Linked DNA regions of Canis lupus familiaris. The protein of the gene in region 2 interacts with the protein of the main gene of each other region in a pairwise test. Links are inferred from orthologs where the notes say so. Each region holds a gene or a part of one and is shown on either strand. Other genes may lie near its edges.

The links.
Region 1: the proteins of MBIP (region 2) and PPFIA1 interact in binary tests that used the Homo sapiens proteins (3 or more experiments, as listed by UniProt). The two-hybrid records come from large-scale screens. The link is inferred for Canis lupus familiaris from reciprocal best matches to the Homo sapiens genes MBIP and PPFIA1.
Region 3: the proteins of MBIP (region 2) and MCM7 interact in binary tests that used the Homo sapiens proteins (3 or more experiments, as listed by UniProt). The two-hybrid records come from large-scale screens. The link is inferred for Canis lupus familiaris from reciprocal best matches to the Homo sapiens genes MBIP and MCM7.
Region 4: the proteins of MBIP (region 2) and BFSP2 interact in binary tests that used the Homo sapiens proteins (3 or more experiments, as listed by UniProt). The two-hybrid records come from large-scale screens. The link is inferred for Canis lupus familiaris from reciprocal best matches to the Homo sapiens genes MBIP and BFSP2.
Region 5: the proteins of MBIP (region 2) and RAP1GDS1 interact in binary tests that used the Homo sapiens proteins (3 or more experiments, as listed by UniProt). The two-hybrid records come from large-scale screens. The link is inferred for Canis lupus familiaris from reciprocal best matches to the Homo sapiens genes MBIP and RAP1GDS1.
Region 6: the proteins of MBIP (region 2) and TXLNB interact in binary tests that used the Homo sapiens proteins (3 or more experiments, as listed by UniProt). The two-hybrid records come from large-scale screens. The link is inferred for Canis lupus familiaris from reciprocal best matches to the Homo sapiens genes MBIP and TXLNB.
Region 7: the proteins of MBIP (region 2) and EPB41L3 interact in a two-hybrid assay, tested with the Homo sapiens proteins (2 studies listed by BioGRID). The two-hybrid records come from large-scale screens. The link is inferred for Canis lupus familiaris from reciprocal best matches to the Homo sapiens genes MBIP and EPB41L3.

Annotation. Positions count from the first base shown.
Region 1 is NC_049239.1:48,513,378-48,517,576, reverse strand, and holds the start of PPFIA1 (liprin-alpha-1), read left to right. Parts: upstream 1-1,399; 5' UTR 1,400-1,493; intron 1,494-2,761; coding exon 2,762-3,025; intron 3,026-4,199. UniProt on the Homo sapiens protein: May regulate the disassembly of focal adhesions. May localize receptor-like tyrosine phosphatases type 2A at specific sites on the plasma membrane, possibly regulating their interaction with the extracellular environment and their association with substrates.
Region 2 is NC_049229.1:15,070,287-15,074,406, reverse strand, and holds the start of MBIP (MAP3K12-binding inhibitory protein 1), read left to right. Parts: upstream 1-1,320; 5' UTR 1,321-1,383; coding exon 1,384-1,512; intron 1,513-4,120. UniProt on the Homo sapiens protein: Inhibits the MAP3K12 activity to induce the activation of the JNK/SAPK pathway. Component of the ATAC complex, a complex with histone acetyltransferase activity on histones H3 and H4.
Region 3 is NC_049227.1:9,437,379-9,441,564, forward strand, and holds the start of MCM7 (DNA replication licensing factor MCM7), read left to right. Parts: upstream 1-1,386; 5' UTR 1,387-1,513; coding exon 1,514-1,544; intron 1,545-1,988; exon of another isoform or gene 1,989-2,068; intron 2,069-2,356; exon of another isoform or gene 2,357-2,380; intron 2,381-2,390; exon of another isoform or gene 2,391-2,533; intron 2,534-2,638; coding exon 2,639-2,718; intron 2,719-3,011; coding exon 3,012-3,176; intron 3,177-3,351; coding exon 3,352-3,476; intron 3,477-3,562; coding exon 3,563-3,743; intron 3,744-4,047; coding exon 4,048-4,185; intron 4,186-4,186. Other genes in the region: AP4M1 (AP-4 complex subunit mu-1), read right to left, coding at 1-76, 208-304, 384-490, 833-921, 1,018-1,075. UniProt on the Homo sapiens protein: Acts as a component of the MCM2-7 complex (MCM complex) which is the replicative helicase essential for 'once per cell cycle' DNA replication initiation and elongation in eukaryotic cells.
Region 4 is NC_049244.1:30,851,725-30,855,721, forward strand, and holds the start of BFSP2 (phakinin), read left to right. Parts: upstream 1-1,197; coding exon 1,198-1,686; intron 1,687-3,997.
Region 5 is NC_049253.1:19,381,199-19,385,257, reverse strand, and holds the start of RAP1GDS1 (rap1 GTPase-GDP dissociation stimulator 1), read left to right. Parts: upstream 1-1,259; 5' UTR 1,260-1,446; coding exon 1,447-1,450; intron 1,451-4,059. UniProt on the Homo sapiens protein: Acts as a GEF (guanine nucleotide exchange factor) for the Rho family of small GTP-binding proteins (G proteins) that stimulates the dissociation of GDP to enable subsequent binding of GTP.
Region 6 is NC_049222.1:31,678,515-31,682,014, reverse strand, and holds part of TXLNB (beta-taxilin), read left to right. Parts: intron 1-3,240; coding exon 3,241-3,411; intron 3,412-3,500. UniProt on the Homo sapiens protein: Promotes motor nerve regeneration. May be involved in intracellular vesicle traffic.
Region 7 is NC_049228.1:71,859,202-71,862,701, forward strand, and holds part of EPB41L3 (band 4.1-like protein 3), read right to left. Parts: coding exon 3,458-3,500; intron 2,947-3,457; coding exon 2,824-2,946; intron 2,178-2,823; coding exon 1,785-2,177; intron 1,000-1,784; coding exon 868-999; intron 383-867; coding exon 284-382; intron 1-283. UniProt on the Homo sapiens protein: Tumor suppressor that inhibits cell proliferation and promotes apoptosis. Modulates the activity of protein arginine N-methyltransferases, including PRMT3 and PRMT5.

The DNA.
Region 1 (4,199 bases), on a different chromosome or scaffold from region 2:
CCCAGCTCAGGCCTTCCCCGAACTGTAGGGTCACACTATTCATTAGGTTGTTTTCCATAGTCTTGATAGACCTGGGACACATCCAGATCTCTAGGACTGGTCACACTCCGATCTTAGAGGAACACTCCTCCCGAGCTCTAGAAAGCCATCTCTAGAAACTAGGAGAGGTGGCCTGGGCCATGCTTATGGTTGACAACCAACCACATCATGAGAGAGCTGAGGCTGGTGGGCACATTTGTAAAAACACGACCCTGGCCATAGTACTGGTCTATCTATCCCCTCCCCTCCCACATTCCTGGGTTTTCTTTATCAAGCCTTCGACGGGAGAGTTGGAGCAAAACCATTTTAGGGAAAATGGCTCGTTTTCTTGACTAAGCCTTACAAGGGTGCCACTCCATCTCTAAAACAGGTTTTGGATAAATACTTTGGGGAAATAGTTTAGTTGGGTGGTATAGGTACACAGAAAAGGCATTTTAGCTTCCCAAAAGCTATTTTCCATGATTTATGTTTGCCTAGGTTTTACTAAAGGAACATTTATTGGGGGGGTGGGGGAGGGAGGGGGCTTCCCTAATGATAAAAATAATGTGCATTCATGATGTAGTACCTGGAAAGCACAAAGTAGCCCAAAGAAGGAAATGAATGAGTGAGTATGAATAAGGACGTGAATGGAGCCGCCCCCCGTGGGATCCCACTTGCTCTAGCAGCCCAGGAGTAAGGCCGTGTCGTTTTCACATCATACAGGTGGGGCGCTGAGCGCCGCGGGCTCCGCTGACCTGCCCAGGCCACCGCGCAGGGGCGAGCCTGCACTCCCCACGCCGCGCCCAGGAATCTCCGCATCAAACGGTGCCCACTGGGCATCCGCAGGAATCGCAGGTAAGGGCCCCGCGTAGACGCCGCGACCTTCTGAGTCCTGGAACGGTCGGTCCCGAGGAGGGTCCGACCCCGAGGAGGCAGCCAGCAGGTGTCTCGCGCCGGGGCGCACCCGCCTCGAGGAAGGCGCTGGCTCAGAACCCGACGCACGGTAGACGTTGCCAACGGCCTCTGGGCGGCCGGAGCCGCGGTAGGTGAGCTCCGGCTCGGTGGAGAAGGCCCCTACCTGGGGGGCGGGGCCGGGGGCGGGGCTCCGCCCGCACCTGGCCAATGGGCGCCGGGGGACCCGCCCCGCCCCTCGAGTGGGCGGGGCTTGCGCGCCCGGCCTCCGCGGCGCTCCCCAACCCCCGGGGGGCGGGGCCGGCCGGCGGCGCTCGGCGCTGACGCTGCGCCGACGCGCCCGACGTCGGGCACGTTGACGCCGGCGACGCGCAGCCGGGCCCGCTCCTCCTGCGCTCAGGCAGTGTCCGGCCGCGGGCCGGCCTTGGTGACTGGGGGCTGCGGGCCCGGGGCCGGCGGGCGCGGGCGCGGGCCGCTTTCGTCGGGCCCCGAGCTCGCCCGGAGCGAGCAGCCGCCCGCACGGCGCCGCGGAGCCTCCTCGCCCGCTCCCGCCGGCGAGCAAGGTAAGGAGCGGGAGACTGAGGCAGGCTGGGGCGGAGCGGGGCGGAGCGGGGCCGCGGGCGCCCGGGCGCCGGCCCCTCCCCGCGGCGGCCCCCTCCCCGCGGCGGCGCTCGCTGTCAGCCCCCGGGCGCGGAGGCGGTGGGCCCCGGCGGGGCGCCCCGAGGCCGGGCTCCTGGGGCCGCGGCGCCCCGGGGGCCCCGGGTCAGCCCCGGGTCAGCCCCGGGTCAGCCCCGGGTCAGCCCCGCGCCGGGCTCGGGGGCCGAGGACCTGTGGCCGGGGAAGCCGCGGCCCGGGCTGCGCTCCAGCTGTCAGCGGTGCCCCGCGGTCCGGGGTCCGGGGTCCGGGGCCCGGGGCCCTGCAGCGCGGCGCTGGGCGAGGGGCGAGGAGGTCGCGGCGGTCGCGGCGGTCGCGGCGTCGCCGCCCCCGGGGCTCCAGCCTCCTCCCGCGGCGCCCGCCTGCTGTGGGCCTCGCTGGCGGCGTCTCCTTCTCCCCTTTCCCTTCTCCTCCGTCCTCCTCCCTGTCCTTTCTTCCGTCTTGCTTCCTCCTCCGCTCCCTCCTAGCCGTCCGCGGCCGCACCGACCTGCTCCATGCCCGGTGTGCAAGTTTCCTTTCTAATACTCTTTTCTTTTTTTCCCTCCGGCCGTAAACTTACGTAAGTTGGGTTGCCTGACCGTCACACCTTTTGCAGCCACTGACAAACACCTTTCCCGGCCCTTAACGAATCCGGTGCCTTTGAGCGCTCACCCAGTCCGGCCCGAAGCCGAGGGAGCCGCCAGTCCTCCTCGGGAGCTGACTGCACACATTCCTCCAAGATGCCTGATGCATTTTGTACTTGTCAGTTTTACTGGCTGTATGCTCCTTCTGTGCTTTTCCCGAAACATGATTGGGTGGCATGTGTTTTGACTTTCTCTCCCCGAACCGGGAAATAAAGGGGAAAAAGTAAGTTGCAGAAGCACACTTGTTTTCAACAACCAGAAAGTACAGCTTTGCAGACAAAACGCCCCAGGGTTGGTTCTGTACTCCAGGGGTAGTCTGTGAGGTCTCTACCCTGCCCTGCACTATCCCACGTATTAATCTGTTCCCACACTCAGGATTCGCCTGTGTATGTTTTTTTCCGCTTACTTATACTCAGAGTGTAACAGTCGGATCTGAGAATAACGAGGCTGTCAACCTTCATTTTATGAGCAGCACGGAGAGCTAATAAAGTTGCAGGTTTGTGGGAGCCTTTATTTTGCACTTAATGACTGGAGTCTGGGTGTTTTATTTCAAGATGATGTGCGAGGTGATGCCGACCATCAGTGAAGCAGAAGGCCTGCCAGGAGGAAGTGGGAGCCGTGGGTCCAGCTCTCCTTCGCAGCCAGATGCAGATTCACATTTCGAACAGTTGATGGTGTCCATGCTGGAGGAGAGGGACCGTCTTCTGGACACGCTGAGAGAGACTCAGGAAACGCTGGCATTAACCCAGGGGAAGTTACATGAGGTCGGGCATGAAAGAGATTCCTTGCAGAGGCAGCTCAATACTGCACTTCCACAGGTATGGATGCCTTTCACCTGGAACTTTACAGATCTTTCTTTCCCCTTCTAAATTATGGTGTCACCTTTCATGGTGTTCATGTTTTACATGAGTCTGTGAAATGGTGGTTCTGGTTTTTTTTTTTAATTATTAAAGATTTAATTTCTTTATTCATGAGAGACAGAGAGAAAGAGAGAGAGAGAGAGAGAGAAGCAGGCTCCATGCAGGGAGCCCGAAGTGGGACTCGATCCCAGGTCTCCAGGATCACACCCTGGGCCGAAGGTGGCACTGAACTGCTGAGCCACCTGGGCTGCTTGTGGTTCTGGTGTCTGTAAGTCATGTGCAGAGAGGGTTCCCGAGGGTTGAACCTCTGAGGGAAGACAAGCTGTGGTGCACTATACTTAAACACCTCGTAACTCTTGTTCCTTTCTTCTGCCTTAATTTGGGACAGTGCTCCGAAGTTTTTGGACAAGGGCCATGAGGCATCCAAGCTGCGTGCTGCCTTCCATTCTGTCGTCTTAGGCCTTTCTTGCTCAACCTGTGTTTCTTATGGATTTTATCGCATTTCCCATTTTCTAATGAAATTTAATGGATAGATAGGATTGATTTCACAGGAAAGATAAAGATATTTTTACAGTCCACTTTTCTAAGAACACCTGTGTTTTATAAATGAAGTTTGTTGTGGAGGATATGAGACAGAGATTAATTCCTTCGGAACTTTCTTCTTGGCCGATGAGAATTGTAAGCTTGAAGTGACGCCGAAGCCATTAATCTTAGTATATGACATTTGGACTAGTTTCAAAGCCTCTCCTTGTGGAGCTGAGTGAGGACGTCATGATAGGTGAGGGTAGAGGGTAGAGGAAAGTGTAAGGCGAGTGGCACAGAGCATGCCGGAGACACAGAGGTTACTTGGGTGTTCACAGCCGCCTAGGTGCCACTTGAGTTACCCGTAATAGGCGCCTTTGTGGTCCTTTCAGGTAGGCCTGCATAAGCACATGCTTGTGCTCCCACCGTCGGTCTGCAGTGCTAAATTAGTAAATGAGTAATTGCCAGCCTGAATGCATTTCTTGGCTGTAGCTGGTTCTCCTGAAAGATTGATAAGCCAGACGTTTGCATTTCCTTTTTAGCAATAATAATCTGCCGTTAGTGCTGTAGTGCTCCTTTTCTGTTGGATCGGGGAGCCATCACGGTTTTT
Region 2 (4,120 bases):
ATGAGTTTAAATTAGAGATGGAGATGAGTGCCTTGAATGAGAAGGCTGCTCAATTTGGGATTATATATTGTGAAATCTTTTTCTGGATGTTTCTAGACATAGGCTGGATTATAAATTGTATATCTTGCTGTGAACAAGGGAACAGACAAGATTTCTCAAGATCCTGTCAAGCCTGGTGATCTTTGGAAATGAAAGCCTAATTAAGAGGCTCCCTAGGGACAGGTCAAAGGCGTTCTTTTATCCCTACTGACCCCATTCCAGTTCTCTGATGCCTATTCTGCTCCTTTTCATTCAGCCTACTCTAAAACTGAAGAATACATATTGTGCAAGTTTCTACCTTTGCTTCCTCTACTGTAAATGCATTAGACTATTAGAATTAAGAATTTTAAATACCTTGTCCCTAATCTCTGAACTGACGGGTTTTGTTTTTTAATAGAGCTTAACATTTAAAATTCTTCTAACCTTTGTTCTTTTCTTCAATTGAACATAAAGCTTTTAAATGTTGGACTATAAAAGTACTTCAAATATCTTTTAATAAATCTATCTGATGAGTAATACGCTGTCAAATTTCAATTCGCATTTATTTTTTCTAATTTCAAAGATTGTGCTGCATGCAATTACTTATTTGAATTAAACTGTTAGAATCGTTTTGAGTGTCTCACTTCTTTGAAAGGTTTAGGTGAGTGTCTCTACAGTATCACTCAGAGAATAGCAACTGATGCACGTTTTAAAACTTGACATAATTATTTTGCAGATTTAAAGTAATTAATGTCCTTTCTTCCATTGATAGTACAGCAGGAACAGTAGAGCATTTTATTGTTCTTTTATAGCCTCTGCTCCCTCACATGAAAAATTAGTCACGTTAATTTGTGTAAGTTTTTAAACTTTGCAGAAGTGAAAATGTTCTAAATACAAGCGTACGTGAAAGAGTTTTCCAGGGTGTAGAGGTGTGGGCCCTGCTGCACCCCCGAACAGCAATCTTTGTCCAGACCACTCCACAGCGCCATGTTAAAAGCTAAAATTTTAACTTCTAAAATTCTGACGTTTAGGTCTAAGTCTCCTCTTCAACACTCATAAGCAACACCTAAAAACACAAGACAGGCTTCAGACGCTAACGTTCCCTAGACCACCGCCCCAATCACCGTCCCAAATTCCGTACGCAGCTCCGCCAGGTCGGCAATTACCCGCTCCGGCTCCTTGGCGTGACGCTCCAGCTGCACCTGATTGGCGCACCGGCTTGTCAGTCACGAGGGTCCTCGAAGGCCCGGGCCGGACGAGACGCTGTGTTTTTACGTCATTTACCGGCGACGCAAGCGGGCGGGCGAGGGGGGCGGGTGTTGTGAGCACAGCTCGGTGGTGGCGGGGGTAGCCTGCGAAGGTGTCATGGCTGCTGCCGTTGAGCTTAGCCTCTCGAGCAGTGGTGACAGGAGTCCGGAACGGAGCTGCAGCCCCAATCTCTCCCAAGAGGTGCTCCGCGAAATCTTTCGCTCACTGCATAGCCTGGTGGGACAAGTGAGTGGTGGTCTGTGGGAGCAGAGCAGGGGGTTGGGAACTCTCCGGCCCCTCCCCCCTTTTTTCCTCTAGCGGAGGCGGGGGGCTGCTTAGGGCTGCCGGGGACCGGGACTGAGTACTGAGGCCGGCGGAGGAGCCTGAGCCTAGCTGCGGTCGGAGCGAGGAAGGCCGTACGGGCTGGCAATTCTCCCCAAGAGTGAGAGGATAGTGTAAGTGAAAAACCTGGCTCCCAGAAGAACATGCTTGGAGAGAGCGAAGGCGTAAAAAGCTTTGTGGGTTTGGAGGGTGCCTGGCGCTCAGCATCCCCTATCCTTCAGTGAATTTGTGATAGAAATTGATAGAAGTAACGGCCTGAGAGTTTTGGCAAAGCTCTCTCCGCTTTTTTTTTGGGGGGGGGGGGGGGTTGATTTGCTTTTAGGAGTCACTTGGTTTTCTTTCTTTTTTTTTTTTTCCTTCTGGTTGTTACATGTGCATCTCTTACCCTTTCATATGGGGAGGAAAAATGAAAGGAATTAATGTAAATACTTCTTGCATAAAATTCGATGAGTTATCCATGATTGATAGAGTTTGCATCAGAACTGTTTGTCATTTAATTATTAGCTAATTTAACTGACTGATGAATAGCTTCTGCAGAAATGTCATAATAAATTGGGTTTAAATAAAAGTACTCCTTACACTATTCAATCAAGTCAACTGTTTCATGAAATAAAATGCAAAGCATATTACAAATGATAAACAACTTGAAAATAAGTTTGTTTGCTTTTAAAAAGGAAATCTTTTGTATCTTAGACGGAATATTTTTTTACTCTAAAAGTTTGTTATGGGGTTGGTATTAGTGCATGTAGTAGGCACAGCAAACATTTATGTCGAGGATAATGTTTATGAAAACAACACCTGTCTAGTTTGTAAAAAGTTATTTTTAAAAGCCGTGAGTGGATGGAGAATTAATTTTTTAAAAGGTTATTTCAGTATTTTTAAAAATCCTAATATGTTTGTCCTTAGAAAAAGCATTACTCTAAGTTAAACATTTAATTTGGTCTAACGGAACAATTATTAACAGAATCTGCTAAAAGTTGTAACTGTTGAGCTCAGTTGTTTGCCGCCAACTTATTAAAATTTTTTAAAGACTTGGGGACATTAACATTTTAGTCTTATCACCCAAGACCTGTAATGGTTAAAAGTCTGAGAACGTTTTCTGTCTTGGATATTGGAATTTTAAGGTTTATTTATATTTTAATGTCACGATGAAAAAAGTTTATGCTTACCTGTAATTTACAGTTTTATTTTCAGTGGTGATAAATTTTTTAAAGTAACATTAAGAAATAATTTAAACATTTCTTTTGAAATATTTTTGCATACTGAATTTTTAAAACTCATTTACAGATTTTAAACATTCGCGTATTTTGTGATTAAAGTTTACTTATGTCACCTGTCAAAAATGTTGAGAGTACATATTTGGAAAGTTTACATGACACATTGAAGGGACCATCTATACAGGTGTCAAAAAATTAAATCATTGTCTCATCAATTAAATACTATTTTGATATTAGTCTTTATATTTTGAGATGTATTGTTTAAAGGGAAGAATGAAAGCCACAATATTATAAAATTGCCCCTGGAGGAAATCACTATGTACTTTTGCAACAAGTTTATAGGATATTTTTTTTAATGTAAGTTTCAAAAAAAAAAAAAGTAAGTTTCAATATGCCTAGTTTCATTCTGCATAGTATCATTATATTGTTGGCTCTCCTCAATAGGAAACATAAAATTGAATGTTAAAAAGTATCCCAGATTTCAAATTTACTTATTTTAACCTTATTGCTTGCCACAGCATGGCTCATTCTACCAAGTTGAAGCATTATTTATTGTTAGCTTGGAGTTTCATACTAATTTTTTATGGAAAATGCTTACTTAAATAGTCCATATTAATGTCACACCAATACATTTTTGAGTGAATGCTTTACGTTTACAAGTTATAAAGGGTAAAAATGCATCGAATTCGTATTACTAATAGGGAATTTGTTGAATAAATAGTTGGATATATTATGATAATTTTAAAGTTAATTTGTATCATTATGTAGTTTTCTTTAAAAAAACCAAGTGTCTTTAATTGTGCTTGAAAGGCTTACATAATTATGCTGAATTGAAAGGAGAATATGATCCCAACATTAAGATTTATTTTATTTGTTTATTTTCTTTAGGAAATTTGATGCTTTACTTTAGTTGAGGATTTGTCTGTGTTATCCCAAAACTCTATTTATAAATTTGTTAGGAACTGTAGATCTCTTAGAGGACTGTAGAAGTACAGTAATTAAATAATATAAACTAAGATTAATGCAGTAATCTTAATGTAAAACTTTAGTTAATATAATCTAATCTCTGCCAGTGTAGCCTATCCAAAATTTCTTATTTCTTTATAGTTGTCTGATACAGACTTTAAATGTTTCTTGTCTCATGGAAAAGGTGGTAAATTTTTGTCATACAGTATTCATTAAGTATACTGCCTTTTTTGGGTAACTTTGGATTTCTGGTTCTTTGTACAGTGATTCATCTTTTTGTTTTATTAGAATCACAACTCATAACATCAGTATTTGAACTAATGTAATAC
Region 3 (4,186 bases), on a different chromosome or scaffold from region 2:
GCTTGCTGACCACAGCCTCTGTCTGGATGAAGTTCCTCAGCATCTCCATGGATGTGGTCTGCACATAGCCATAGTCCTGGGGGCAGAGGAAGGACAGCCTTTGGGTGGTGAGTGGAGGAAAAAGGTGAAAGTGAATGGACTTAGTTTTCCCACCCCAGCCCACATTTGCAGGGCACTGGGCACTTGGGGGAGACCCCTGGCCCTCACCAGCACTTCATCCAGGAGTTCGTAGACAAGAGCCACGTTTCGGGAGATGGTCCCCTCACTCAAGGAGCCACAGTAGTCGCCCAGGAGAGTGGCCAACCTGAGAAAACAGGGCTGTGTGTGCATACCCTTCTACGGTCGTATCCCCGCGCCCAGGTGCCCAGCCCTGCCCTCCTCACCGGGAGAGCAGCTCTAGAAGGCTGAAGGGAGAAATGTTTTCTGAAGTCGTGGCTACCAAATAGAGGCCGCTGTGTCTGATGTGAATGAAATGACGGTCATCGTGGTGCTGAGGCGGAGGCGAGGAAGAGAGCGTTAGGAAGACATGTGATTAAGGACCCGCGAGACTTGCTAGCGGTGGGCCTTGGGGCGAGCCAGGCACCTCGCCCCCGCCCCGGGACCCAGCTGCCTAATGTGGAAGTGGAAGTGGCCCTGGTACCTACCCCGGACTGGCGGAGCTGCGCCCCGTAGAGTGTTAGCGCTCCAGAAACTGTCGCTCGGATTACTTGGCAGAACGTACCCCCCGCCCCGCCCGCGCCCCCCAGCGGCAGCTCTCAGGGAAACGGTCCTGGGAGGAAGGAGGCGCCCCCCAGCCCTCCGGGAGCCTACCCCAAGCCCCGCCGCAGGTTACCATGACAACCGGGGACTCATCTCCGGGCAGTCCCGTCAGCTTCCGGTAGAAGAGCTCGGCCACATCCCGACCGCCACTGTCCCCGCGGACTGACCGGGTGGAAGGACAGCTAAGGAGTCGGCGACACGGGCGGGCTCTAGGGCACTACTCCCACCCAGGCCTCCCGCCCCGCAGGTCAAGGATACAATCCTTGTAGATGAGCGGGTCCCCTTTGGAAGACAGAATGAAGAACTGGGAGATCATGGTGGTTGGAGAGTCCGCAAGGAGACAGCGAAACTTGGGCCTGCCCCGCCCTGCGGCCCCGGAACAAAAGGACGCGCGTAGGCTGGTCCTTTAAGAGCAATTTCTCTCGGTCCGAGCCAGCTCGGACCGCGGGAAACCCGGCGCCCGCCCCGCCCGCCCCGCCCCGCCCCGCCTCGCCTCTCCGCAGCTCGGGTGCCCGCGCCGCTGCCCCGTCACTCAGTCCAGACTCGCCTGGTGATTGGCCGAAGCTATGGCCTGCGGGAGAGTGGGAGGGGCGAAGGGCCTCCTCTTTGATAGGCCCGCACGCGGCGGCGCCCGTCACGTGGGGGGCGACGTTTCGCGCCAATTTCGGTTGGTCGGCAGGAGCCCGCCGCGCGGACGCTTTCTGCTGTCCTGGGAGTGAGCGCCTTGAGCCCGCCAGCTGCTGCCGCACGGGCGATGGCAGTTAAAGACTACGTGCTCGAGAAAGGTGAGGATATGCAAACTTGGGAGGAGCGGCCTGCGCGGGAAGCCTGCGGTCCAACACCTGTTGGCGTGAGCCGGCGTCCTGGGGCCCCGGGGCGCGCGGCCAGAGGCAGGGTCGAGAGGCTGCAGGGCAGAGGCAGACGGTGCGTGGGAGGCGCGCGGGCCGCGGAAGTCGAAGAGCCAGTCATGCCTGGGGAAGGAGTGGCGGGTCGCGGTGGGCGGGGGAGGGTCGCGCCCAGGAGAGACCGGGACCTCAGGAGACCCAAAGGGCTTTCCGCCCCCAAGGACAAGGACCCCGGGTCCCCCCTCCCTGCGCACCCTTAGACATTCGGAGCGCCCGCGCCCTCTCGAGACGCGCCGGAGTCCCGGGGGCGGGCGGGCCCCGGCCGCTGAGTGCCGGGATTGGCCATTTTAGGCCAACCTCTAAGCGGAAGTGAAGGCGGGCGGAAGTTGCGCGACGTCGCTGGAGGGAGTGTCGTCTGTAAACAGTGTCCTTCCGCGCCGCGGCCTCGGAAAGAGCTGCTCAGGGTGGGGGCGTGCCTGAAACTGGGGGGCTTCGCGGGAGGCCGAGAAAGGAGGTGGTCGGGTGGGACGGAGTGGCCCTTGACGAGCCGGCCAATCGCCGGACGGGCTCCCGCCCTGGGCGGAGGAATCCCGGGCTGTGAGGCGGCTGCATCTGGGCCCATGTGCTTCTTTGTTTACTAAGAGCGGAAGCAGTGGCGGGAGAGGGGGTGGGGTGCAGGCTGGGCCTAGTGGAGAGACTGAGGAGACCGAAGAAAAAGAGGAATCTCAACGCGTGGAAGAAAAACTGAGAACCTTGAGCTCAGAGCGTGTGGCGGGGTGTGAAAGGCCTTTGGGAACGAGTACTGAGATTTGTAACCAGGGGAGACACTGGGATTCCCTGGGGGAAGGTTGTTGGGTAAAGCTCCTGACTGCCCGGGGCCCCTTCTCTAGGTGAGAATAGACCTGTTAGAAGGAGTTCTGCTCTACTTGGTAAGAATTACGAAGTAAAAGCGAGTTTTTTAAAGAAGCGTATCAAGGGGTTTTGTGGTAAAGTATCTGAAAGACTCATTCTCATGATTTACGTTTTCCTTGCAGAAAAGGTTAAGAAATTCCTACAAGAGTTTTATCAGGATGATGAATTTGGCAAGAAGCAGTTCAAGTACGGGAACCAGTTGGTGAGTCATAGAAAAAGTGGAGGGAATGGGTGGTTGCTTAAGGAGCTGTAAGAGGTGGCCTGGCTTGCTTCAGTAAGTGTACATGTAGGTAACAGCTTCAGTGTGATTCTTAATATTTAGTAAGTGGAAGTCATTCTGTGTGGGTAATGAGCAGTGTGCTCTTTAGAAGTTAGAGGGCTGTCTTTGGGGGGCTGAGAAGTGAGTATTGCTTTGTCTCATGCTTCTTTCTACCCTTGTGGGTGGGGGACACTGCTGACCATGGTGTACACAGCTCTGTCTCGTCCTTACCCCAGGTTCAACTGGCTCATCGGGAACAAGTGGCAATGTACATAGACCTAGATGATGTAGCTGAGGATGACCCTGAGTTGGTGGACTCCATCTGTGAGAATGCCAGACGCTACACCAGGCTCTTTGCTGATGCTGTACAAGAGCTGCTGCCTCAGTACAAGGAGAGGGAGGTGAGTGGTTGCAGGACAACACAGGGCAACACAGGTTGCTTTCCAGAAGCTTCTCAGATGCTGGTTTTTCAGAGTTGGCAGAAAGGGGGCAGTAATTTCTGCCTGGTTCCCTTTGTGGTCTTTCGTTCTCTAGTCCTGCCACACGTTTTTTCTTCTATCTTTCTTTTCTCTTGAGGTGGTAAACAAAGATGTTCTGGATGTTTACATTGAACATCGGCTGATGATGGAACAGCGGAGCCGCGACCCTGGGGCAGCCCGAAGCCCGCAGAACCAGTACCCTCCCGAACTCATGCGCAGATTGTGAGTGGTCTCAGCGAGGAAGGCTGTGGAAGCTTGTGCAAGCTTGTGCTTCAGAACCTTTGTAATGACTCTTTTCTCTCCCTTAGTGAGCTCTACTTTCAAGGCCCAAGCAGTAACAAGCCTCGTGTGATCCGGGAAGTACGGGCTGACTCTGTGGGGAAATTGGTCACCGTACGTGGAATTGTCACTCGTGTCTCCGAAGTCAAACCCAGGATGGTGGTGGCCACTTACACTTGTGACCAGTGTGGAGCAGAGACCTACCAGCCGGTATGTAGGGAGCAAGGAATAGGAACATATTTAATTGTTAGTGGTTTGCCCCAGAATTACTTTTAACTCCTGGTAGTTATCTGTTGTTTGCTGTGTTCGTTATGAAACACAACTGTGTGTTTACTTATCATTGTTTTTCTGGTCCGTAGTGGTCTTTCCATCGTCCTTTATGGGTTTTTGGTTCCTATGCTTATTGACTCAGGACAGGTCAAAACGTTGGCAGTGTGCGATGTGTGCTATGGGGAAGAGGAAATGTTGACTCAGGTGACGGACTCATGGCTTTTTGCTTTTTCTTGCATTCTAGATCCAGTCTCCTACTTTCATGCCTCTGATCATGTGCCCCAGCCAGGAGTGCCAGACCAATCGCTCAGGAGGGCGGCTGTATCTGCAGACACGTGGTTCCAAATTCATCAAATTCCAAGAGATGAAGATGCAGGAACATG
Region 4 (3,997 bases), on a different chromosome or scaffold from region 2:
CTAGAAATTGACTCCCTTCCCCTTCTCTCACTTGAGGTGGGTTCTCATGTTACAGGATTTGGGATAAATATCCAGCTCTGGATTAATTGTGGCTACTTGGATTCTCTAGTGCAGAACTTAAGTGCAGTAGGTTTTAGGTTTTAGTGGGTTTTGTTATCTCAGAGGATCTTTTTTAGACCTGTAAAAGTACTTGAGATGTGACCATAACAACATACCTTAGTAGGTGCTGACAGTAAGAATTAAAACCCAGGGGTGTCATCAAATCCTAACTTGAAGCACCCTTAAAGAGCTTACTGGAAAACCTCTTTGTTCTTATTTATTAGTCTTCTGGAAAATGGAGAAACAGAAGTGTAGGAAACAGCTACAGCATAAGAAGTGCCCAACATGTGTGAGACCTGAATTTGCCCAGGGTGGTTGTCTACTACTTAGAGAGAGCTCAGGCCAGTGCGTGGGAAGTAATGTCCAGAGACATGGAGCAACATGGCCAACATCAAGCAGCTGATAAACAGCAGTGTTCAAGGTAAAAAAAATGCCACCGAAGGACCTGAAGCTGCTACCAGAACTGAGAGAGGGTGAGGGAAGAAACAGGCTTCATTTGTTTCCCTTGAGTTCATGGGGCTGCCTCCACCATGGGTGGTTCACATCCATATCCATTGTCTATTACCTGTGTGGACATGCATGCACATTCACACATTCACATACACAGCACACGTAAGGATGTAGAAAGTTCTGAAATTGGCCCTGGAACATCTGGATTCAGTCCTGGGTCAGCCTAGCCACTCACTACACTTGTGATCTGAGGTCTCTAAGCCTCGGTTTACTCATCTGTGAAATAGGGCTGTTTGATGCCTGCTTTGCCCTCTCTTAGGTGGTGAAGGACACAGACCCAGATGAGCCTCCTCCACAGCCTGCACTGATCTAGCCTCCCCCACCACCAGCAGAAAAATCTGGGAGGTCAGGCACATGACCTTGCAGAGAATGCATGAGTGCCTTTCTGCACACAGCCCTGGGGCAGGGACCATTTCTCTTTCAGCTCAATGAATGGTGGAAGCTCATAGAAAATAGCAGACAAAGCAGGCCTGGGGGTAGGGGAGCTTCCAGAAAGGCCCACGACCGGGCCACAGGGACACTGGGGCTGGAAACCAAAAGCCACTAGGCTCTGTAAACCCACTAGGCAGAGCAGAGGCAGAAGGGGAGATGAGCACAAGGCGAGTGGTGGTGGACATGCCCACCGGGGCCAGCTCCAGCATGCCCCTCCAAAGGCACAGGGCATCCTTCGGGGGAACATGGTCATCATCCTCCCTGGATAGCCCCCCAGCCTCCAGGACCAATGCCTTGGGTGGTCTCATCCGAGCACCCAGAGTCTATGTAGGGATGGCGCCCAGTGGGTTCACAGGTGGCCTGGGCACCCGTGTGACACGCCGGGCTCTGGGCATCAGCAGTGTTTTCCTGCAGGGCCTGCGGAGCTCAGGTCTTGCCACAGCACCAGCTCCAGGTCTGGAGAGGAACCTCAGTACAGTTGAGGACCTGGGGGGTTGCCTGGTGGAATACATGGCCAAGGTTCATGCCCTCGAGAGCGTCAGCCAAGAGCTGGAGGCACAGCTGCGGATGCACCTGGAGAGCAAAGCCACACGCTCAGAAAGCTGGGGTGCCCTCAGGGCCTCCTGGGCCAGCAGTTGCCAGCAGGTGAGTGCCTGGGCCATGCCCAAGGGCTTTGCGTAGGGCCAGGAGAGGGTGCTGACAGCCGCCTGAGGGGTCATTATCAGAGAGCAAGAATGCTGAGGCGGGGCAGGGGAGTAAATGGTTTGAAGCCAAAGAAACTGACCACAACCTCTCATTTCATGCTAAAAAATACTAATGATAATGAAAACAATAATGACAGCTATCATTTACTGAGGTAGACTAAGGGCCAGGCCCAGTTCCCTGTACACGAACTATCTCCTATGTTCAAAGCAATACTATGCAGAGGCTCATTTACCGATTGCATTTTTCAGATGAGAAAACTGAGGCACAAAGGAATTATGTAATTTGCCCAAGATTTGCAGCCTGTAGGGAAGCTGAGCTTTGAGCCTGAATTGTTTCAGTTCCAAAGCTTGCATTTGTCCCATAACCCTGTTAAGAAGAGGTTTTGTGTTAAGAAAGGGTTTTCACAGCCATCATCAAATGGAACACCATAGAATGGATGAGGCATCAAAAACAAGGATAAATGGAGGTGTGTTCCTGTATCCATCTGCTACAGAACTGTCCAATAGAAATATGAGCCACCTGGTAATTGATAAGTTTCTATTACAGTAAAAAAATAAAAAGAAACAGATGAAGCTAATTTTAGCATCAATATATTTTAAATGTTATTTCAACAGGTAATCAACATTTAAAATATTAATGTGATAGTTTACATGAAATAGAACTTTCTGCAGTGACTGAAATGTCCTATATCCACACCGTCCTGTCTGGTGGCCACAGCCATATATGGCTATTGAGCACATGAATCCTGGCTAATAAGACTGAAGAATTGAGTTTTTATTTTTATTTTATTTTATTTTATTTTATTTTATTTTATTTTATTTTATATTTTATTTACTACATGTGGCCAGTGCTATCCTATTGGACAGGGCTGGACACAGAGGTTTCATCTTTCTCCCTTGCTTGGTCAGGATGTGCTCTCCTGGGTGATTTCCGCAGAGCGCTGAGCTCATCTGTCATGTCTGGCCTGCAGCCTACTGTTCTACCACCAGGACTCCAGCCAGCATTGCACATCTCATCAGATCTCTGTGGGTGGCTGGCTTCTCTTTCCCTTCCCTACCCAACCTCCCCCCGATACATGCTGATCTTGGGATCCCTCTGAGCTACATGGGCCTCTAATTCAGCCAGGAACTGCCAGCTTGGACCCCTTGGGCCCTAGAGGCCAGCATGCACTCCCCAAGAGGAGATCACAAACTTCTATTTGTGTGTGGCTAAGTGATGCAGTGCAGGCACACTGAGAGGCTCCCCATTTCCCTTCCTGCCTCCCATTTCATCTGAGGATGCTTCTCCTTCATTGTCAGTCAGTGCCCGACCGTCAGCTTAGGACATATGATATACAACACTGTCCTCTTGGCTTTCCTCTGGAGCTGTTGTTCTGCTTACATCCATCTGGGCTATAAGGGAGAGCCATCTTAAAGCAGCCTGGGGCTTAAAGCTGTCAAATCTAAGAAAGCCACCCCTCCCAGATTCTCCCTAGCAGTCCTGATTCCAAGTATTTGTGTCCTATAAACCAGCAGGCTGTTCCTATATGTTCCAATATTTCAGCCTGTGTAGGACAAGAAATTGTTCTGCATTCAGACGCCACCCAGACTTTTCATGAGAAGTCAGGCATCCTAATTTCTAAGTCAAAACGTATAGACACAAAACTTAGTCCATATTCAATAGATCCTGATGTGGTCTGGCTCCAGCTAGCTACAGGGGATTGGGCAACTTTCTCAACTTCTCTAAACCTCAGTGTCCTTATCTGTAAAATGAGTACAATGCCACAGCCATTCTAGCAAATCCATAGATATCTAAGTTGCATGGTTCCTGCCTGTGGGCAGACCATAGATTAGCAAACTGCTCCCTGAGAGCAGCACAGCCAAAGTGCCACCAGAGCCAAGGACACAGAGACATTCAATCCTGTCACTGAATCCCAAATGAGGGTCATTTCTCTCTTAACTGACCATAAGTGAGATACTTCATATGAATACAGACTTCCCTTCTTCTTTTGTTTAAAAGCGTGGACTTGATGGGATCCCTGGATGGCGCAGCGGTTTGGCGCCTGCCTTTGGCCCAGGGCGTGATCCTGGAGACCCAGGGTCGAATCCCACATCGGGCTCCCGGTGCATGGGGCCTGCTTCTCCCTCTGCCTGTGTCTCTGCCTCTCTCTCTCTCTGTGACTATCATAAATTAAAAAAAAAAAAAAAAAAAAAAAAGCGTGGACTTGAGATACAGTGAGACTGACCTGTAAAATGCAGTTATTGCTGTATCA
Region 5 (4,059 bases), on a different chromosome or scaffold from region 2:
GGCTGAAGCGAGGCAAGGCGCCTTTTCTCAACGTTGAATTTATTTATTTATTTATTTTAATTTTTATTTATTTATGATAGTCACAGAGAGAGAGAGAGAGAGAGGGCAGAGACACAGGCAGAGGGAGAAGCAGGCTCCATGCACCGGGAGCCCGACGTGGGATTCGATCCCGGGTCTCCAGGATCGTGCTCTGGGCCAAAGGCAGGCGCCAAACCGCTGCGCCACCCAGGGATCCCTCAACGTTGAATTTAAAGAGTAGGGGTTGGAAGGGAGAAGCAGCCTCGATTCAGGTGTGCAACGTCCCCCTTCCACAGGTGGGACTGCTGCCCGCGGGCCTGTCCCCTGCTGGGGTGCGGCTGCTGCTGTGTGGGGAGAGCGATCCGACTCCTACAGCTACGAGGGGTCCGGGCCAGACGCGGCCCCCGCAGGGAGCAGGAGGGTTTCTTCGCGGCTCCCCCCGCAGGGCAGGGGCGCGGGGCCCAGCGCATGCCCGGCCGGGAGGGCGCCCGCTCGGGTCTCGCCCGCGATCGGGGGCGTCCCGGGGGCCTGGCCCGCCGGCTGGGCGGGGCCGCCGCTACCTCGGTAACCTCGGCGGGGCGCTGCCCGGTGGGGGGAGCCCGAGGGCACCCTAGCTCCGCCGGTGGCTTTCCAGGCGTCTCGGGGGAGGCAAGGCCGCGCTTCCGTAGGAGGAAAGCCCTGGGGGCGGCCCCCTTCTCGGCTGCCCAGCCCTGTTGTGAAGCTCGCCGCGGCCGAGGCAGCCCCAACCACCCCGCTGCTGCGCCGCTAACGCTAGGAGCCCGCCCCGCGCCCCGCAGGCTGCTCGGAGAACGGGCGCCCTCAGGTCTCGGTCTCGCGGAGGCGCAGCCCCGTCGGCGGCCCGTGCACGGCAGCTCCGTCTCGGGATGTCTGCGGGGCGTCCCCGCCGCCTCCTCCGGGGACCTGCAGCCCGCGCGGCCGGGCCGTCCCGTAAGGCACACGGGGTCGGCGGGCAAGCCGGGCGGCAGCCCTCGGGACCCCGCAGCCCACCCAGCGCGCGGCCTGCGGCGGCTGCAGCGGGCCCGCCCGCGGAGGGGAAGAGAAAGGGGCGCGGGAGACACTGAGCATGCTCGGCGGAGAGGGCGGGGCGCCCCCGGGCCGCGCGTCGGGGCCGGCGCTGCTCAGCCCGGCTCTGCCTCCCGGGCGCCCGCCCGCTCCGAGCCGCGCCCGCCGCAGGCTGCGCCCGCCCCCGCCCCGCCCCGCCCCGCCCCCCCGCCGCTCGTCCCCGCCGCGGCCGCGCCGCCTGCAGCAGCAGCAGCGGCAGCAGCAGCTGCTCCTCCCCGGCGGCCGCCCCCCGCGGGTCCCTCCCTGGCTGCGGGAGAGGCCGAGGTAGAGGGAGGACGCCGCGCCGCCCGCCCGCTCCGGGGACCCTCGCCTCGCCCTGCTGGCTCCGCACCCTCCGGGAGAAACATGGGTAAGTCATCCTGCCTTCCCCGTCATCGCCTGACATTTTTCTCTCCCTCGGCGTGTTGCAGGGTGGGAAGCGTTTCTCGCGCAAAGTTGCCGGATTTCTCCAGCCCGCGGCTGTGGGACCGCGGCTCGCCCTGCGGGGACAGTCGGCGCTCGCGGCACGCGCGCGGGTCCCCGGGCTGGGAGGGTCCCGGGCGCGGGGTGCGGCCCTCGGGCACCTCGCGGCCGCGCCTCCCCTCCTCCATTCTTCCTGCCCGAGCCGTGCCCGGGCACCGCGGGGCCGGCCTCGCGGGCCAGCATCCTCCGGAGGCCGCCCGCCCCCTTCCCTCGGCGGCTGCGGGCGCGGAGGCTCGGTCGGACCGCGCGGGAGAGCCCGCCTCGCGGAACTTCCCGGTCTGGGCGACCTTTCCCCAGCCCGAGGCGGGGAAGTGCGAGCAAGTAGTTTGGGCGACGGCACGACCTGCATGGGAATGGTTTCTGGCGGGGGAGAGCGGCCGGCGTCCCCGGCCGAGGGATGACTTGTCAGAGGCCACGAGGAGCGCGCGGGAGGATGCGGAGAGCCGCCGGCCGGGGGCCCCGTGCCCAGCCCCCTCCTGGGCCCCTTCGCCCGCCGGCTGTAGCTGTGCCGAGAAACGCACCCTGGACACGTTACGGAACTTACATCTCAGTTATTCCTTCCCGGCGTCCCCTGCCTCAATCTACATAATCTGATTTTTAGTTCCTTTGTATGTACGGTTGATCCCAACGAATTGGTTTGCGACCAGATACTTAAAAGCAGGTGCATTCTCTAAAATGACATATGACTTATCTTAACATTTTTTTTTTTCATGACATTGCTTAGGCGTTCAGTGCGGTAATTACAGAAACGTCTGATGAGTTCTGTAATTTAATAGGCGATTTTTTTTTTTTAAAAGATAGTATCAGTTCGAAGTACCGTACTTCTACATGCCCCTGGTTCGCTTCCACCCCTGTCGTAATCTCCTCTTTTAAAATTTGCTCCATTGGCGTCTGTCAACTCGGACTTTTCCCACCCCTCTGTGCAAGTTATTTTAAGCCTAAAATGAATGTGGTTCTTTCATCTGTCAATACAGTGCTCAACACGTCTAGCATTCAGTCGTGGCAATTGAGAATCTTCTAGGAAGTATCTAAATCTGGAAATGGTGTGGATGGAGCTTACTGGAAAAGCAGATGCTCCAAGCTGTTTCAGACCTTTGGTCCTATATTGGGGAGAGGCTAGTGTTGCAGGAGGAGGTGGTATGAATAAAAAATGAATTATGGCCCTGAATTTTATCTTTAGTTCAGATTTCTTCCCCCCCTTTTAATGTACTATCGGTATTATGCTGAACGAATTTATGTAAAATTGGGTGGCCCATAGGTACCTAGCTTTTCTCCAGGAGTAGAATTTTAAATAAATACTCAGATTATTGGACACATTGTAAATTTTCCTTGAACATGCAAAAGCTCTCTCCTTAATTATAGGCCACAAATATGGCTTGTGAAATACATTTACCCGTGTTTCAAGGTGAGCTAGAAAATCCATTTAAATAAAATTTTAACTTACATGTTGAGTCAGAGTCTTCTCAGTAGAAAAAATTCAATTCTGTTGCCATACTTATGAATAAAAATACTTTATTTAAAAATGATTGATCTTCAAATTCTTGAATGTTACTGCTTGATTTCAAAGAATGGTCAGATAGAAACCCTTCTCTCATTTGAAGTTTCTCAGATACTCTTTGATTAAACCAGTCTCTCCTCATAGTACTCTATACCTTATTGGAGGCTTTTTAGCACTTACATAATCTGCCTTATAATGGAGTTGTTTATGTGTGTGTTGTGCAGTTAGTCATCAGTTCCAGAAGATGTAAATTATGTCTAATTAATTTTTGTGTATCCCACAGTTCTTTCCACATAGTAGATATTCAATAAGTCTTTGGTGAATTCACTATTGAAGTTAAAACCTATTATTTTCCATTTGTGAACTTGAAAGTATGGGCTTTGAACATTCAGTTTGGTAGTTATTATGGAGGCTTGGAGGAATTGGGAATAGAGAAGTATAATTATACTATGAGTAGTCTTCTTGGTAAAAAAAAAAAAAAAAAAAAAAAGGTTGGGTTGACTCAGAGATATGGATTCGGGGATAGCCTCCAGGTAAGCCATTTCCTTCTGCACTGCTGTCTTCCATGGTAAGGTGGGTTAGTGTGTGATCACTAGGACATGCAATAACATAAAATTGAAACCTTGTAAAGCGATTTCATCTTCTGAGCCAAAGAAGTTATAACAATTGACATATACGTAAAGGGTACCCTGATTAATGGTAGGAAAAAATCACTTTTGAAAGACTTCCCAAGAAATAAATAAGGTGATTTAAAAAAATATTCTCATGGCAGTGCTTTTTCTCTGTAAGAAAGTGAAGGAAACTTCCTATATAGTCTTATGGGGCATGGCTATAATATATATCTTATTATAGAGTCAACATATACTTAATATTTATTGAATATCAACCAAGTACAATGTACTGTGGGAGGACAGAGATGAATAAAACATTCATACTTCAAGTTCCATTTAATCCTAATTGGAATGATACGATACATACACAGATAGCTATAACGGAAG
Region 6 (3,500 bases), on a different chromosome or scaffold from region 2:
CCTAGTCAAGAGTCACCCCACCCAGGTTATTTTTCCAGAGCGCCTACTCAATTCAAGCCTACTTACTATACTTTGGCATTTATATCATGTCCTATAATGAACTTTAAAACCCAAAAGATCATTCTAGAAAGAATGAATAGGAGATAATTGGCCAAAAACTCATTACATTTCTTTTTCAGAAAGGCAAAATTATGAATAATTTCAATCTTTTACTTAAAGACTAAAACCTATTTCATTGCTCACTGATTTGGATATTAATATAGAAGGTGTCTGACATGTATTAACATAGAATAAATCATCAAATTCAAAGCCGTGAATCAAAATGCCACTCTAGCTAACTCACCCTTACAGACTCTGAATCCTGTAATATCATCTACGATTGTTTTCATTAATAAATAAGGATATATTTATTAATAAAGATACCACATGACTAAATTAAGAAGGGACTTGGGAGAAGTAGGTTTTCTAAGTTTCCTCAGTTTTAATGTAGTCACAACAAACCACTAATACTATTCTGATTTCATAATTGGCATTAATTTTACTTTTTTAACTTAATAATGAAAAAGAGAGAACAAGAAAAATAGCAGATAAAAATCCAATATGACTGTTACAATTGTACAGAAGTGCTGTGTCTAAGTGCATCATTAAATCACTAAGCCAGTAAGTATTTGACTAAAGTTGACTCGTTACAATATGTTCGCTTTCATTCATTAAGAACCATATATATATATATATATATATATATATATATATATTCACAAGTCAGAAGTATTTGAATAAAGTTAGCCACACTCTTCATAAATTTGTCAGAAAGTTAAGAGTTTTTATTTAGAGCAAAGCAAGATAGACCTAATGGCAAATATGTATGACTTTGCAGTAAAACTAGAACATTACATGGTTGATAAGCAAGCAAAAATCATCTCTTCCAACTTATAAAACACATGTAGGGTATCTTTCTCCTAGTGCTCAGGTAAATCCATATGGGGTAGTACTCCCTTGTTTGGCAGTTTTGCTCACTGTGGGCCAATAGTCAATGTCTGTCTGGAGATATTATGAATGCCACAATTGGGGGGCGCTACTGGCATCCAGTAGGTTGGGGACAAGGATGCTGCTAAACAGCCTACAATGCTCAAGATAGCCCCCCACAACAAGAAATTATTTGGCTCAATATGTACAAGTGCTTAAGTTGAGAAATCCTGACATACAATTTAATCTTCAAAAAGAAAAAAGTCTAAATAATAATGGCAATAACAATAATAACAATATATAAATTTCAGATAGAGATAATAGGTCATTTAAAATCCAAATACACTCTCTCTCTAAAATTTTTTTTTTATAATTAAAAAAAATGAAAAAAAATGGGAGGCGCCTGGATGACTCAGTCAGTTAAGTGTCCAACTCTTGATTTCAGCTCGTGATCTCAGGGTCGTGAGATGGAGCCCTGCATGGGGCTCTGTGCTCAGTGAGAAGTCTGCTTGAGATTCTCTCTCTCCCTCTTCTTCTGCCCCTCCCCCCACTCTATCTCTAAAAAAATAAAATAAAAATAAAAAATTAATAAAATCCAAATATAAGCACAAATGTAACTATGGTACAAAATGAAAAAAACTCATCCATCCTTTTAATAGGAGGTTAGAATGAGAAACATAATAAAATATCAATGATTTTCCAATTGAACCTCAAGAAAGAAATCAATTTCAATCAATGTTTATGGTCATATGGGTCTAATTTTTCCTGATGTTAATTCTCACTAATAAATGAAAATTGCCCATAAATGTGAAGATTGAATATCATTTATGAACATCCCCAGCTTAATCCAACAATGATCATTTTGGTGTGGCAGGAAGGAGTGAGGAAGAGAGTAAAATAAGTCATGAACTGAAGTAAATGTGATAGTCTTGTTCAGCTAGTTCAAAAAGAACAAATACCTTTTCAAGACAGGGAGATTGAGGCACATGCGAGAGTTCATATCGTGTGTGATCACTTGCATCAGATTCTTCAAGTCACTAAGAACACCTGGGGTTCAGAAGCCCTGACAGTCTCACATGGGCTTTTCCTCCTCTTGAGCCAACAAAGTCATAATCAGGATAAGCACCTACCTGCATTAAGCACCATTTTGGCACTCAGGAAACTGAGTCCAGCAAAAGAAAGGCTCTGGATGAAGTGATACAGCCTCACTGACTGTCTGAGATCAACACGTCTGGCATGTGCTAGTCTCTGATGACTTCCGTTGGTTGATCCACAAACTGCCCCTCCACCCACCAGAGCTAGAATTCCATTAAAATATCACTAGATTTGGCAAACAAAATAGAGAACACCCAGTTAAGTTTATGTTTCAAGTAAACATTTTTTTTTCAGTAAAAGTGCCCCATCCAATACTTTAGATATACTTTTACTAAAATTTTTTAATTATTTGAAATTCAAATTTAACTGGGTGTCCCACATCTTATCTTGTGACTTCATCCCTGAACTGTAGCATCCCAAGATGGGAAGTCGCATGGAACTATGTGGTAGCTGCTGGAGGAGCATGAGAAAAGGCCCCCACTGTGGTTGGCAAAAGTGCGTGTCATGATTTATTGGCCATGAGCATGGAACCTGGGGATGGTCAGAGGGCAGGGTGTGTTATGGATACTTGCCATTCTCGCTGTTGAATTGTGCAGTGGCTACTTCTGAAGCTCTGGTGGAAAATCGCCAATGCTAGGTAGTTGAGAGGTATTTTCTCTTCCCTCCCTGTTTTACAAACCACAGACTTCACCTTCCACTTACCAGGAGGCTATTTTATGCTTTCTTATTCTTTAAAAAATAGTTGCTATAAGCTTGTTATGAGAAATAATTGTGAGAACAAAATATAAACCAAGCAGACACACTGTTGACCATTGCACCAATGCAAGACATTATCATGAATTCTGACAGCTTTACAGATTCCAAGATATGCCCTTCTATATTGACCAGTATCACTGGATAGATTCAAGAGAAGGAAAACTATTTATAGACCACCAAAAAGAATAGGAAGGGATCATTATAATGATAAGGAAAACCTATAAATGATATGCTCTAAAAGCTGTATCTATGAGTATCACAAAGTCCCATTTGTGAAATTTTTTGCAGAGGGGCAGTGACAATAGCAAAGAATATTTCCAACAACCACAGAGTAATCTTTTGGTATTTCCTCTTTTCATCCTTTTCTATCAACTCAAAAGCAATTCCTGCCATTTTCTTTTATTTTGCATCCCTCATGTCTAGCTGGATGAGCATCGCACTGAGCAAAAGAAGTTAAAGTTCTTACAAAAGAAACAGGTACAAATCCAAAAAGAAAAAGACCAGTTACAAAGTGAACACAGCAGAGCTATCCTTGCTCGAAGCAAACTGGAGAGTCTATGCCGGGAGTTGCAGAGACACAACAAGACACTGAAGGTATGTTATCACCACCTCTCTGAATAACACACCTTCTGGCATGCAGCGCAGCACGGGCTTCTGCCACTCATGGAAAGAGCATGAGTTTC
Region 7 (3,500 bases), on a different chromosome or scaffold from region 2:
TCAAAATCATTAATTCCAGAAGCGAAGCTACAATGGAGTCCTTTGGGCGTGGCTGGCCCGTGTTTCTGGAACACCTACCACATGCTGAGGACTGGAGTTCCGTGTTAGGCAAGCAAAGGGTATCAGGGTGCATACTCCTAAACAGAAAGGAGCGTGTAGGAGCACACGCCCCGTAAGCAGAGTGGGCCTGAAAGCTCCAAGGCGCCTATCTGGGCGTCCTGATATTCACCAAACTCTTCGTCTGTGCAGCCCAACTGGGACGGTCTCTTCCCAGTCCACTTACTTTGGTGATGTGGGTGGTGGTCGTGGTACTGGTGGTTTCAGACGTGATTGTCTGCGCGCTCATTAGCACGCCCGGTTCCAAATCTGCACCAGCATCAACCTACGAAAGCAGGGAACAGACACTGCACTCAGATCCCTCAGGGCATCTGAGTGGTCAGGACATCACAATGATTCAGTTATCTCCCCCCATAGCCACGTTGTCCAATCAGCACATGGGAGCCATGGCCTTGGGGACAGGCTCGCCCAAACACAGCCAGGGTTAATCATCTTTAAAAACTGGGCCTTGCGAAATGGGAGTAGTGTCTGCTCGAGCTGGTAGGCTTCCTCATCTATGGCTGGGGAAATAGGTCCCTGAGCCTCGTTCTACCTCTTGAGATATACGAAGACCAGTGTAAGTCACCTGATGCTTCGTCAGCAGTAATAAAGTTATAATTATTACCATTATCACTCTTGACAGACACAGTTTGGCTGCTGTGTCCTCTGAGTCTCACGAATTAAATGTCATGGGGTCCAACTTTAATGCAGTGAGCCACAGAGAGGGGCAAAGCAAAGTGCCAGGGCTTTGACCTTCATGCACAGTCTTACCTGTGACGATTCATACGTTATCGTTTTTGTTTCTGTGTGAACTACCGGCACTTCCTTGGTAGAGATTTCTAGCTTTACTCCTCCTGGTGAAACACTGCCAAAACTGAGGCTCTCTGTCTTCACAGTTGATGACTGTACCAATGGGAAGCAGGTAGAGTGGCTATTTAGTAGTTTGCACAAAGACATGATTTTGGCTTTTTCCCTCCCCTCTCGGTGGGTATGTATGAGTACAGGTTAGTATGTAGTAAATGGTTAGGTGTAACGTGGGGAGGGTTAGTTGAGGAATGTCTTTCAGAATTCCAGAGAGTTTTTCACATGGGATGTTCCAGGTAAAGGAAAGCATTTTGAAGGAAATGTTTAAAAAACTATTTTTATGTTGCCTTTCCTGTCTTGCCTAAACTAATAGATCAAAAATCATCAATTCGCCTTTTATTTAATAACTTCTTAGAAAGAAGGAACAGATTTTAAGACATTAGCCACCCCTCACTCCATATACTTTAGGAATCTCAGTAAAAGAGATAAAGAACGAAGTTCTGGCATTTGGTACCGGGGCGAGCATGGTTTTTGGGCCTTCTGGGTAAGTATCCTGATCAAAAATAAATTTATCGAATTTTCTACTATCTTGGCTGGCCACGCATTCCCCAGGTTTACTGCCAATAATTACAGTGAAGGTAGAAACCATTTCCTGGAACCACACATAATTAATAATCATTAAATACGTTTGCATGTGAACCCAAAGATGGAAACCAGCATGGAGGCCCTGTCGCCGTGCAAGAGGGGGAATAAGAGGAGAAACAAATTGCACTTGGAAAAGGTAGAAAATTAAACTTAGCTTTACACTTTACGCTTAACGAGATTTTGGGGAGTCATATGTCAGTTTTACGTTGGTGCTGAAAGTAACGTCAACTACTAGTTACCTCAAAATGAGGTTTCTGTTCCCGAGTTTCAGGAACGTGGGTTGTTGTGCTCTGCTCCTCCTCTGGCTCGTGGGAAGCAGCAGCTGTCTCTTCCTGTTCGAGGACAGCTTTATCGGCCACCTGCCCCTTCTCCTCCTTAGCCCCCTCCGGCAGAGCAGAGCCCTCCTTCCCTTTCAAGCCAGAAGCATCAGCAGATGCTGCCTGTGTCGCAGCATCCATGTCATCTCCAGCCACGTAAGAAGCATCCCCACTCGCATGCACACTCATCACATGTCTTTCCTCCACCAGCACGGTTTCCTGCACAACCTTCTCGGTGCTAAGTGGCTGGGGGCTCGGTGCTAAATGGCTTGTTTCTGTCTCCGTCTTGCTGGACTCCGTCTTGGTTTCTGTTTTCTGCATGGGAGAGGATTGGGGTGTCATTGTGGCTTTCCATACACCAAAGGTCACAAAGCCAAAATAAAAACAAAAGCAGCCACTCACCAGGACACCTAAAGCCAGTGTCAAGTGCTTATAATCAGAAACGCTTACAAACGCTTTCATTCCTCCCACCAGAATCTCGGAGGCGCGTCCTCTGCCCCAACACACACACACACACACACACACACACACACACACACACACACACACAAGCCTGTGCTGCTATGTCGGGATATCTGCAGATGAAACAGGATGCGGCATAAAACGCAACGAAAACAAAACAAAATGAAAGCACTATAGCATTTTCCCACTGATTCTGGCAGCTTTCTGAGACCTAATGGATGACATAAGATGCTTAAAAAATTAAATGCTATTCAGATTTTTCAACATGACTGCTTTTTGAATATCTGAAGTATGTTCTAGTGATGCAAATAAAGGCACATCACAGCTATGCCAAGCAGGCACGAAGGAAAACACCTGAAGATACCTCTCAGGTGTTTAAGGCCTTAGAGCCACTTGGATGCAAAACATGCATGCACACACACGTGCACACACACCAAAGAGGCATAAAGATAGGCAAATAGGCAGAGTCAGGAACACCAAAGAGGGAGCAATTGGCCACCTGAACCCAGCTTTGAGAAGTAGAAGTAACCCCTCCTATGAATTCTGTTGGTTTCCTTGCAGATTCTAACAAACTGAAGATTTCAGAGCCATCCATGAGCTTTTCAGAAGACGACTGTTTAGTCTGAGTGAACAAAGAAACGGACAGTCAAACACAGAGACAGGAACAGACGGGTATAGTCACATTCACAGCTGCTTAGACAAAACTGTAGGGGAGGAAGGCGGGAGGAGGCAGGAGGGAATCTACCATACAGATTTTGGAAACAGAAAAGAATGGGAAATAAAATAGCAACTTGAGGTGACCATGAGCTCTGGTTTGGTAAAGCAGAGAGAGTTATTAGGATGTGGGTGGTGCCGGCATAAGCAGGTCATTTCCCCTTCATTGCAAGCCCCAGGCAGCACTACCACATCTCGGGATCAGGGAGCTGGAAACAAAACGGAAAGTGTTTTTAATGCTTACACTGGACTGCGCTATCCATCTAACCACGAGAAAAATGAAAAAGCTAGGGTTGGCGGCTCTCAACATAAAGCCAAATAGCGAGAGGAACAGAAAAGTTTAGGGTGGAAGGGCACTGCCTCAAAAAAAGGTCATGCTGGACTCTGACACGGTGGCCCAAACGAAAGGCACTGGTTACCACAACTCGGGACGTGGCCGACTCGGTAACGTAATGAGCAGTG